3 linked regions of the Oryzias latipes genome follow. The protein of the gene in region 2 interacts with the protein of the main gene of each other region in a pairwise test. Links are inferred from orthologs where the notes say so. Each region holds a gene or a part of one and is shown on either strand. Other genes may lie near its edges. The genes, in order: c11h1orf109, rint1 and cwf19l2.

Evidence for each region.
Region 1: the proteins of rint1 (region 2) and c11h1orf109 interact in binary tests that used the Homo sapiens proteins (3 or more experiments, as listed by UniProt). The two-hybrid records come from large-scale screens. The link is inferred for Oryzias latipes from reciprocal best matches to the Homo sapiens genes RINT1 and AIRIM.
Region 3: the proteins of rint1 (region 2) and cwf19l2 interact in binary tests that used the Homo sapiens proteins (3 or more experiments, as listed by UniProt). The two-hybrid records come from large-scale screens. The link is inferred for Oryzias latipes from reciprocal best matches to the Homo sapiens genes RINT1 and CWF19L2.

Annotation. Positions count from the first base shown.
Region 1 is NC_019869.2:20,075,777-20,079,984, forward strand, and holds the start of c11h1orf109 (uncharacterized protein C1orf109 homolog), read right to left. Parts: upstream 2,830-4,208; 5' UTR 2,411-2,829; coding exon 2,133-2,410; intron 901-2,132; coding exon 721-900; intron 261-720; coding exon 142-260; intron 69-141; coding exon 28-68; 3' UTR 1-27. Other genes in the region: cdca8 (borealin), read left to right, coding at 3,327-3,417. UniProt on the Homo sapiens protein: Part of the 55LCC heterohexameric ATPase complex which is chromatin-associated and promotes replisome proteostasis to maintain replication fork progression and genome stability.
Region 2 is NC_019881.2:11,302,662-11,306,118, reverse strand, and holds the end of rint1 (RAD50-interacting protein 1), read right to left. Parts: intron 2,674-3,457; coding exon 2,555-2,673; intron 925-2,554; coding exon 705-924; 3' UTR 563-704; downstream 1-562. UniProt on the Homo sapiens protein: Involved in regulation of membrane traffic between the Golgi and the endoplasmic reticulum (ER); the function is proposed to depend on its association in the NRZ complex which is believed to play a role in SNARE assembly at the ER.
Region 3 is NC_019871.2:20,782,575-20,786,781, reverse strand, and holds the start of cwf19l2 (CWF19-like protein 2), read right to left. Parts: upstream 2,847-4,207; 5' UTR 2,808-2,846; coding exon 2,715-2,807; intron 1,869-2,714; coding exon 1,758-1,868; intron 742-1,757; coding exon 616-741; intron 1-615. Other genes in the region: alkbh8 (alkylated DNA repair protein alkB homolog 8), read right to left, coding at 4,006-4,207.

The sequences.
Region 1 (4,208 bases), on a different chromosome or scaffold from region 2:
TCTGGTTCCAGTTCTGCTCCTCCGTCTTCACTCCAGCTCCAGGAAAAATGACACTCTGCAAAGTGTTTCTGCAGGAGACAAGAGTCCCACATCTCAGAGTTGGCGGAGCTCGCGTTTCAAGCTTCGGACAGTTAATGTTACCTGTGATTCGCTGCTCGCCGTCAGGAGACTCCAGGGACTTCCACCTCTCAGGAAGGGATTCCAGCAGAGCGAGGTCGTTGGGTCTGAGCGTTTGCAGCAGAACTTTCCTCTGCAGGAATCTGAACATGAGCTCAGGAGAGCAGAAGACAGAAACAAAAAAACAGACTGCTGGCTCTACCATTCCCCGCCCTCGCCGCCAACTTTTGTTTTGCCCTGGAGGGCATGATCATAATCATAATTTTAAAGTTTTCTATGGATATCCTCCGTTTTGGCTTTGATTGAAGGATTTGAAATATATTTTTTGAACCCCATTAGAGATCTTTGCCCCATTCATTTTTGTGATGGTTTCTCCCACTGGAATGTTTATTTTATTTTATTTGTTAGTTTGTTTGTTTGTGTGTGTAGGGGGTGGACTATGTCAAGCCTTCCTATGCAGCGGGTACCGGGTCTGTGCAGATCTTGGTAAATATTTTAGCATTTGCCGTTTCGCTCTCAGAAAAAAAGAATTGCAAAAACAATCCGGTCCTTGCCGTCCATGAATGCTGCGGACCGTACCAACAGCACAGACAGGAAGGATACTGCTGCCTGTAGTGGCGCTCGGCGTCCTGAAGCCACTCCAGCATGTCTGCGACTGACGGGGTGACGGCGGAGCGCTCTGTGACGGCCTGCAGGTCCAAACTGGTGGCGTTCTGCTCATACAGCTGCATGACGGACCTCACCTGGTTACTGATGGCGTCTCTGGCAGACTGCAGACGACACCTGAGAAGGAAAGGAGTCTGTCTTAGTCCTCGGACAAGGAAGCCCTTGAAGACTGATAAAAATCATGTTTTTATCTGTTTTGACAAGTTTTTGCGGCCTTTTTCTGATGATCGAGGACATACATAAAGAAAAGTATGCTTAAAATTGGCAATCTGAAAATGTCTTTATTCAAATTGCTGTGAATGAGGAGCAGAAGAAAAAACCATGATGTCCCTGAATGCATCAGCACTGTCTCTGCTATGGACACACCTGGCATATGACACGGTATAACGGGGTGGGATTATATACGTTCGCTTCCTTCCACTCCCTTTCAAGCAATATTTATTAATATGTCTAAATATCCTAAGTTTGATTCGTCATTGTATGAATGTATAACTGATGATTGTATTGTTGTTGTGTATTGTTCTTATTTGATTGGTTGAAATAAACCATTTAAAAAAAAAAAGAAAAAAAAAGACACGCGTTCCAGAACATGTTAACCCATAGTGTTCACACAGTGCTAGTGGGTTGGGGCTTCTCCTTCTTCTACAATTGACCATGACTTGTCTTCCACCTACAGTTGGCAGAGTCTTGGTGCGAAATGTCAAAGTGGTGCAAATCTCTTGTATATCTGACTCCAGGCTTTTTCTTTTCGCATCTCTAGTCCAATATATGAAAGATTTAGTGTCATATATTCCGACTGGAATCAAATCAAAATCATTAATTTGTCCTCCATGGTCAACTTTCAAACGGTTGGTGTTTCCGTAAATTTAAAGGGGTGCCATCCATGCGTCACTACCAAATCTGAGTCCCTAATTGGTCAAAGTTCGACCTGGTTTAACTTTTAAGGTACATTTAATAGATGCACTTTTTGTACATACAGAGCTCAGAAATTATCGTAGAAACTTCAAGAGTTTAAACCAAAATGCAAATTTACATTTTTTTTATTGGTGGTTTCTTGAACGCGCATCGCTGAGGGCGGTGTGAACGTAGCTTAATGATGGTTCTAGTTTCTGGTAAAGGTCTTATGTGGCTTATTTTGATTTGGGGTTTTATCTTTAATATTTTCTTTAAACGGAAATTGTAATATATGGTTTGGTGCTAGTATCTGTACTACAGGAGCTCTTATTTTGAAACAAACTTTTTTTATGCTGTCACAAAAAACAGAGCTAATAGTCTTTTCAACGTCACAGGAGTCCCTGTGATGACGTCATCCGAGAGGCGCGTGTGTGTGGAGTTGTCGCGTGTCTCACATCTTCTCGTTGAGTTTCTCCAGCACCGTGTCCGCGGCCTCCTGCAGTTTGAAGCGCAGCCGCTCCTCCAGCTTCGGGAAGGTTCCGAGCGGCGTGCTGGAGACCCGCACGTTAGAGAGAGCTCTCATCTGCTCCGCTAGGTTCCCCAGAGACCCCAGGAGAGGGCTGCACTCCGCTAGCTCGCTCCCCCACAGCCGCTGGTTGCTCTCCAGCGCGGCGAAGCTGTTCCTGAACGCCTGGTGGAGGGCGCTGAGCGTCGGTCGGGAGATGTCAGACATGCCCTCGGCCTCCGCTCTGGCTTGGATGGGACTGTAAATATAGTTCTGACCAAGTCTGAAAGCCTCAGCAAAATTCTGCACTACTTTTCTGCGCAGAACCAGAAAGCGCTTCCGGTGTCAAGTAGTGACATATGCTGCCTTTACTGATCCTTGGAGATACGGTGCCCCATAAATACAGTAGCTCCTCAAAAAAGGCACTTGATTTCGGAAAATTGTATTTTTTCGTGCTCTCCTTTTTAAATCTACATACACACATACATACATTTTATTGATATATTTTCCCACTGGTTTTGTTAATGCTTCTGGACTTTTTGAGAACTTTTTTTTATATTTATAATCACAGGCATGTCTGTAGGAAGTTGCTATTTATCTTGGTTAAATTGGGTAAATTGTAATTGTGAGTTAAAAAAACTTTTTACTTGGTGACTATTTTTAGTATTTCCTGCCCTTCAGCTGTTTTACAAAAATGCTTTTTTTGATTCTTACTGAAACGCTTTCCATCAGGGGACGATTCATTTTTTCCCGAGTTGTCTTCGAACGCAGCATTGAACATTCGCAGTGCCGAACCCTGATGACGGGGCTCAATCCACGTCCTGATTGGCTGGATTTGTGTCTTGGCTCCGCCTCGCGCGGACATTTGAAAACGACTTCGCGAAGAAGGCAGGCCAGAGGGAAACCCACACAACTGTTACCTTTGTAAGAAAACCCGCTTCAAACTCAGACGAATTGAATCTAAAAACATTTATATCATAAGTGAGACCAAAGAATGAAAACGGGAGTAAATTAATCTGCCGGATAAACTCCTGCCGATTCCAAAGCTAACAACATAGCTGCTAACGTCCTCGGCGGCTTATTTTTTTCCATCTCGAAAACAACGTTTCACAGTTTTCTCCTGTTTGTGAAGTTCTGAGCGGACATGGCGCCCAGGAAAAGGACCACGAAGCAGCGAAAGAACAACCAGAAAATTGAAAAACTGGAAGTTTTTTTGGAGGATTTCGACAGCGAAGGTAAACGACAATGCTAGTTCGGCTTAAGTAAAGGCTCGGCCTACAGTTTGTTGTCTGAAATAAAGTGTTCTGAAACCCAACAAACCGAACCTGTTCAACCTTTGTCAGTAACAGCTGAAAGAGCTGACCAGGTTGGGGATATATATATATATATATATATATATATATATATATATATATATATATATATATATATATATATATATATATATATATATATATGCCAGCTCTTACCAGCTAATTCAGAATTGACAAAGCCTCTTGGATAAGGGGTGAAACATCTTCTAACTTTAAAAACTAAGTCTAGATGACAGCCCCTAAACCTACTACTATGATGGAATCAACCTGGATGAATGAGTCTTCAAGACAATCCAAAGAAAACAAAAAATAACTTCATTTAGCTGTTATAATTTGTTATTATCATTTGGAAATTGCAGGTTTTTTTTCATGAAAGACCCTACAAGAGTTCCTCTCCTTATATGTGCAATTTCATGCACTAATAAAAAAATGTGCTCAAAAACTAGTTAGAATTTGTTTGTAAATTTACTGATCGCTTATTTCCTGTTTGTGTTTTTTGTTTTGTTGCTAAAAAGATAATTATACGTAAAAAAGGAAGTTCTGCTCCTTCGAAATGATGCAATAAACCGGATCATAAAGAAGTGGATGGAAAAAGTGCTATAAAAAAACAATCTAAATTTTGATATCAAAACTCATTAAATATGCATCTTTTAAAGCTTAGCATTTTTTAATAGCTTGAAAAAATTAAATACGAAGAAATGCTATTTAAGCCT
Region 2 (3,457 bases):
TGTCTGCTTGGCCCTCTGTTTTCCCACAGCCTCCCTCTCTTTTCTGACTGATCTACAGCGGCGAACGCCCCGCAAAACCACAGAACTGCTGACAGGCTCTCAACTGACGGTCATTCAACACAAGAGCTTTTTCTGTCATTGGGGTTCTGGTGAGTTTGTCTGACTCTACTCGCTACATCAGCTGATCCCACCACGGCAGCCACTCCTCATAGGAAGCTGTTAAAGAACAATGGTGCTGAAGGGGGGGTGGGGTTCTGACGAGGAAAGCGTTTGTGGAGCAAATCCATAACTGTAATTTCATTGTGACAAGCCTCTTATGTAAATTGATATTAAAGGATTCTGATTCTAAACTGTGCTGAAGTGGTGCGGGGAAGCTGTGGATGCAGATCAGGAATAAGCAGAGCGTCCTCTCGGTTCACTCCAGTCTAAGCCCCGCCTCCTTTAAAGCTGTGCTTTCCATCAGTAATCACCGTCCTGTCAGCTGTCAAACTCAGCCCTCAACACGTCTGAGCCCCCAACTTTTTTAATGAACAGAAAAAGAATAAACAGAACCCAAACAAAAATCGGTCAAAGCCAGAGTTTATTATTGTCGTATTCATCTATAAATATCTGTAATCATTGTATTACTTAAAGAATACATATTAAAGTGTCATAATAGGAAGTCATGACATGAGGTTAGTGAAGCATGTCTGTGCTCCTCAGAGTTACTGTCCAGGCCAGGACGCTCGGAGGTTGAGCAGGATAAGCACGTCTGAGGGGGCTAAGCAGTAAACGCCCATCTCGTTGAGGACAGACTCAGGGGGCGGATCTGCCGCTCTGTCACGCTCGTTGTCTCTGGTTTCCTGCTGCGACTCTTTGAGGACCGCCCGGAGCAGAGCCGCCGAGCCCACGTTCAGACACAGGACAATGACGGCCTCCTTCATGCTGCAACGACAGGACAGACACAAAGCTGACCATCCGTCAACAAACAAGCCTGACCACCGGTCAGCAGATTAACTTGACCACCACTGAACAGGTTAACTGGATCAAAGGCCAAAAAAAAACAAGGGATCCATTTACTTTAAGAAGCTATTGTCCTCACTGGTGGATACTGGTTGTTACGAAACATGGGCAAACCAGTCCGGGGCGCAGGTGACCCACACAAAATACTAAAGCTGTAGACCGTTTGGTGAGCCCGTAGAGTGAAAATGTTCATGGACTTTTTTTTACTACAGGCATGCTGCGGTTGACAGATCGTAGTAAACATGTAAACAACACGTAAGGGTAGATATGGGTGAAGTAGGTGAAACGCAGGCGTGTCGTACATTTATTTTTTTAACCCCCCAAAACCTTGCGCACTGCAAAAGGAGCCCATAAGTGCTGTTCCAGTGTGCTTCTCATGTGCCCGTTACGCAATCCTCGCGTGCAGCCTGACTGTTCCAATTTAAGATATTAGACAATCAAAGGGTAGTTTGTGTGGGCGTCCTACGAGTATTTCGTATTACATGCACACCCTCTGCATGCAGCATCTGTCAGTTAGGAGCCTTTGCACGCACCTTCCTAATGACTGGAGTGTGACGGCATCACTCGTACGTCATACGTGCGTGTATCTTCCCTTAGCCTTACGTATACTTCATCATACACTCACCAAACACACGACAATGGTACATTCCATTTTTATGATGCCCCTTCATGCGGCCGCACAAGCCTGAAGGGAACTGCAAGACCCACCCCGCGACCCTCCTGTCTAAGACCCCCTATGGGCTCTGACAACCTAAAAGCCCACAGCATCCTTATGGCTTTAGGCCAAAAGTAGCTTTACAGTTTTTAAGTAATTGTATTACTTTGTTAATTTCACATCACTTGTTATGCCAAAATTCATAACTAAGCATTTGAGTTTTTGAAAGATACCGACAAAAGAATTCACGCTTTAAATTGGGAATAAAATCAGAACCTGACGGATGGAAAAGAAGTGGTAACTCCCACTCTATGCCTGAATTCCTTCACTACTCACAAACTACTAAGCCTAAACAGTGCGGGACATCCAGTGACCTGGATTTTAAGGCAATGCGGACTCCATGCTCACGTTTTTTTTGTGGCAAATATGACGTCATCGATTTCACGAAGTTTTTCATTACAAATTTATGAATCCACTGTGTTCCAATGATGAAAACGTTGATGGTTTATTAATATAACATTATTTTCACGCAAATTGTTCAAAAGCAATGGATGTTCTATATTTGCAGATCTAGTGAGCACTGATGAACACTGTTTTTTTGCAGACTTCTGGGAGATTTGGGCACTTGATTTGGGAATTGTAGGTTTGGACAGCACTGAAAAATGGCGAACGCATTATATGCTGCACTGTGTAGTGAGGAGTGAAGGAATTTATATATATATAATTTATACATTATTTCTAGTTTAAAAAAAAAAAGCCATCACTATTTCCTGTCCTTACACTCGAACTACTATTATAAAAGCAATAACCTTCTCATTTGTTGGTTTACAGTCATAGTGTTCCTGTTGGTTCAGATCAAGTGAATACAAGCAGCATTGGAGGCCCAGCGGCACTCACTGTTTGAAGAAGTTTTCCGGCCTCTTGCAGTAATGACCAAAGAGAGGAAAGAGGTTTCTGTTCATGTCGAAGTGCAGCTGAGCGGCCCCTCCCTCACTAAAGTGATTGGACAGGACCACCTGACACAGAGAGAGAAAGCACATCATCGGTCTTTAGGCCATATCACACAGTGTCACGTATGAAATGTCTGTCTTTTGTGATTCCTGCGGGATGTACGTCATTCATAAGTGTGTTTGTCATCCGTCACTGTGCGTAGATGTCCATGGAGGGTTTCGGCTGACTGGTCTTAACGTGAATTCAGCTTTGAGCTGTTTCGAATTATTGGTCGGTTGAGAACTATGCAGTTTATACTTATTTTATGTACTTTCTACACAATTAATGAATACATTTTATGCAAGTGTGACTTTCTACGTCCATTCTTCGTATGTTTAACGGACCTTTCACGCATGTAACACCAATGTAAAATCTTTGTATTATGTATACGATGCACATATCACATTAAAATTAATGTGATATGTGCATTAATGCATGAATCACTAATGGATTGCATTCAAAGAGCACAATAATCACACACGGTTCATGTTCTACGTTGATTTTTGGGTTCTTTGCGTGGTTCCTTCATACTTCTTCCGTGGGTTATTTGTGAAACATCTGTAAAAAAAAATTCACGTACAGACCACAACTGTTCTCCCTTTTCCACGTATATTCACGTATGACCAATTTTCATCCGTGCAATACGCTCAAAATGTACGTAGCGGCCAACAGTGTTTCCAGACAAAAGGCTCATGCAGGTCAGTGTTTCATTTAATGTTGAAGAAGCATTCTGCTTTTGATAGGGTTAAAAAAAAACATGGCTTCATAAACCTATGCTTATTATCTAGGTTATTTTATGCCCCCCCCCCC
Region 3 (4,207 bases), on a different chromosome or scaffold from region 2:
AGACGCCAAGTAGCGTCTACACTGCTGTGAAGAAATAATGACGGACATTCTTAAATATCCCCGAACCAAGTACCAGTTGGAGCTACTGATGCTTGAAATATTCATGTTTTCTTTGTATGATTCTGACAAGCGCGTAAATACTTGCTCACTTCTTCTGAGTGAAAAGCGACTTTAAGAAGCGTAAAGGTGCGCAGCGCCACCTTGTGTACAGGAGTATTTCTGTTTACATTAAGCGCCATCTAATGTCAGGGAATGAAATTGCATGTTCGCTCGGCTCACCGTCAGCGAAAATCGCCTGGGTGTGAACACAAAAAACGTGGCGAAAAACGCTGGCGAATAACGCCTGGCGAATATTCGTCCCGGTGTGTACGGGCCTTGAGTCATTTCGAGTCACCCAGCCATTTGGCTGTGCTCTGGACGCTGCAGGGGGAGTGAAGAATCCTGGGCGTTCTAGTGTTAAATCGTAACTAAATTCTTCACCTGAACTCAACCCAAAAATATTTTTTCAGTTATAGAAATTATTAAAACATCTTTGTTAAGAAACCACTCAGAAAAACTTGTTGACAGATCATTTGTGTGTTTGTATCTCAGAGTAATGCATGGAAGACGGTCTACCTCTGAATCCACACTTGAAGCATCTCCTGCTTCCGTTTTCCTTTTCTCTTTCTTGTCCTTCTTCTTCTCTTTTTTCTTCTTGGATTTCTTCTCCTTTTTCTTCTTTTTGCTCTTCAAAGATCCATCCTGGTAAATGTTTGAATTTAGTTCTTTAAATGGAACCTCAGTTTGTTTAAAAAATATATTTGAATTGAAATAAATACAATTAGCAGGAAAAGAGTGAAGCTGCCAAAATTCTGCATAAGCAAATTTTGAAGCCACTTCTGCAAACATGAAGATTTACCAGCAAACGTTTAGCTTGAGTACAGGAAAAAAAAAAACAACTACCCAATATGTTGACATAAAAAAACAAATAAGTTTTCATGGTTTAAAAAAGATGAAAACTGGTTTGCTGTGAAGCAGGTGGTTTTAAATTCTAAAATGATAAATAAAACTTTATTTCTCCGACAATGGCAAACTCAAAGCAGCATGTAAGGAAAAAAAGATGAAAATTAGATTAGGTAAATATAAAAATAAGGCATAAATACTTTCTTAAGAAATGTGCCACCATTGGCATGTTTCTTTAACAACCTATAGCTCTAGAAAATGATTAAACATGATTCACGTCCAACTGCAGTCATCTTTTGATCCATTTTCAAAGCATTCCCAGTGGTATTTTAATAATAATTATGCTCTTTTAGGCAAAAATTTATAAAATCTGTGTTGTTTTCTAGGACAGTTTCTGCAGGGTGGCAGGAGTTCATTAGAAATTCACCTCGGAGTTGTGGGTTGGACTGTTGAAGTGCGCTCATTACCCATGAACCCTTTGTTTACACTCCCTCCAGCTAGCTCACAGCCCCTCACAACCCCAATCTAACATTACCGGTGCAACAAAACTGGCGAGCAGTCGTCCAGTTTTAAGACAGATTTCAGCTCAGACTGTCTGCTCCTGATTCACAACAATATGAATACAGAAATACTCAGAAATGCATTTTTAATCTCAATTTTCTTGATATATTTTATTCAACATGAGAAAAATGCAACAAAAACATGTTAAAAACAACATAAATACTATACTCATTGGAGTGGGTCTTTAAATGATGTATTTCTGTCATTGTGCTGCTTATTAAATGTCTTTCTGAAGTGAAACAGATACAACTTACGTCTCCTAACTGCTCCAGTCTCTGGTTGACTTCAGGAAGTATCCAGGTGTCCTCTCCTCTCTGCCTCTTCAGCTCCTTTCTCCTCTCCTCCTTCTCATATTGTTGCTTAGCCTTAAAAAAAATAACATTTATTATAATATCTACAGCATACCAGTATTTGTGGTTTTACAGAAATGTACTCACACATTATGTTAAATTATGCTGAAGTGTCTAGAAATAAATGGTAACACTAAACAAAGATTTGAACAAAATCTAGACTTCACATACTATTTTGGGATTATAAGTATAAATGTGAGCTGGAAAATTGATTACGATTATATATTATATTCAGATTATAAAAACAGCACAGAAAGTAAAGAGATTTGGCTAAATATGTTTTGCTGTATATCGGTTGAAGATAAATGTATAGATTGAGTTTTCCTCAGTTCTGGGCTCCACTCGGTTGTTGTCAGTTTCCTGGCGCTTGCGCAGAACAGATAAGAGTCTACAACACATTTATGTGCATTTAAAGGGAACAGCTGTAAGTGCTGCGTAAATAGCTATGTTCATGTTTGAATACAGCTATTAAGATGTTCTTGTTTTCTATCTGTGGACAGTGAATAACTACAATCTGGACAAAATGTAAACACGAAAAAGACAGGCTGCCGCCGTCTGCTGTGCTATATCGGTCACTGACTTTCACCACTTTCAGTGTTTGTGTCATATTTCCCTGCAAGCGTTCAGGGAGCATGCAGCAATGGTCCAAACAGGAATAATCTGAAAAATGTCCCGACAAGCGCTTGCTTAAAACTTCATCACGACAGCAAACCTTCTCAAAACGTCACATAGTCCCGGTTGACTTGATCGTTGATGGTACCATCCTTAGCATGTCGGTTAGCAGGTCAATCAATGTAAACAAAAACAAACGGCGGCGCGGAAATACTTCACATCTGCGTTCTAAAGAGTCCTAGTTCGTACCTTTTGTATCGCCTCTTGTCGCGCCTGTCGTTTCTTTTCTTTCGCTTCTTCGATGTTGCTGGAACTCTCAAAACTGACTCCGTACGCCGCCATAACTACGTCGTACACGGGTCTAGCCAACTGTCGTAAAACATCGCTGTTTACGACAGTTGTTTTGTGGTTCTTGTAGTTCCATTAACCCTAACCCTTAATGCCTAATTTTCCAAAGAGCTAAATAAGATGATTATGATAAATATAAGGCCCACTATCATTATTTTGTTCTATAGTTTTCAAGCATTACATGTGCAAATTAGCGGCTTCAGTGTCCAATGCAGACCTCTCCCATCATCTGTTGTCACCGTTGTCAGTTCCTGGAGTCCAAACCAAAACGGAGAAGCTGCATTCAGCTTCTATGCTCCACAGATCTTCTGGAACAGACTTCAGGAAAGCCTTAGATCTGCTAAAACACTCAGTTTTTTTAAACCCATGTTAAAGGCCCACCTGTTCTCAACAGCATTTAATTAATTTAACTTCAAAAGTTTACATCAGCACCGTTACTCTAAGCTTATTTTAATTTCCGTTCTTTTTAACTTTCTTTAATTTTTATTTTAATAATCACCCCATTAATATCTCCAGTAAATGTTTCCTTTAATGTTTTATGTAAGGCACTTTGAACTACCTTTGTACATAAAATGTGCGAAACAAACTTGCTTTGAAAAAATAAAGTTTGATTGATTTGCCTTAATGTTGGAAATAAAACAAAAAATCTGTGCTGGCTGCTCTCAATTTAAAGTCCCTGATAATTTCAAAGCACAAACTGAACTTAAAAGGAGACCAAAAATCACTTAGATGTGTTTCTTTTTCATTTATTGAATGATTTTAAATCCAAGTTGAAAACTCCCTTTTTCCCTCTGTCTTTTAGCTCAGTATGAGTTGGTGATTTTATTGATGTTTCTTACTTTTTTATTATGTTGTTTATTTTAGATTGTTGTTTTTTTTTAATCTTTCATTGTTAAGTGTTTTAGTCAGCCTCTGCTGGGTTTTTTTTTAAAGCGCATTATAAATAAACTTGACTTGACTTGAATTTTTAAAGATAAAAGAAAAATAAAATGATTTTTAAAATATGAAATACCAACAAGCAAAAACGAACAAAAGAGTCACAAATATCAAAGCCCTGTAAAAGACAGTTTCTCAAAAATCTACATTTATTAATTTCTCTTAAAATCTCAACAAGAACATCTTTTCATTTTGTCTCACTGTTCTGTTTTTTGTTCTGCCAAGTTTTTATTCGCACAGACATATCTTTCTGCATTCATTCCTTCTGCAACACAACACACCAGTTGCCCTGGTCATGGTAACTGCTCTTCACTTTGACTCCAGACACCTGAGCACACAGATGCTCCAGCTCCCCCTGCTGGAAAACATGGTAATAGCGATGAAAAACTGGAACTGTGCTACTCTCCAGTTTCAAAGCAGAAGCTGAAGCCTGAGGGAATGCTGGACTCAGCTTAGCA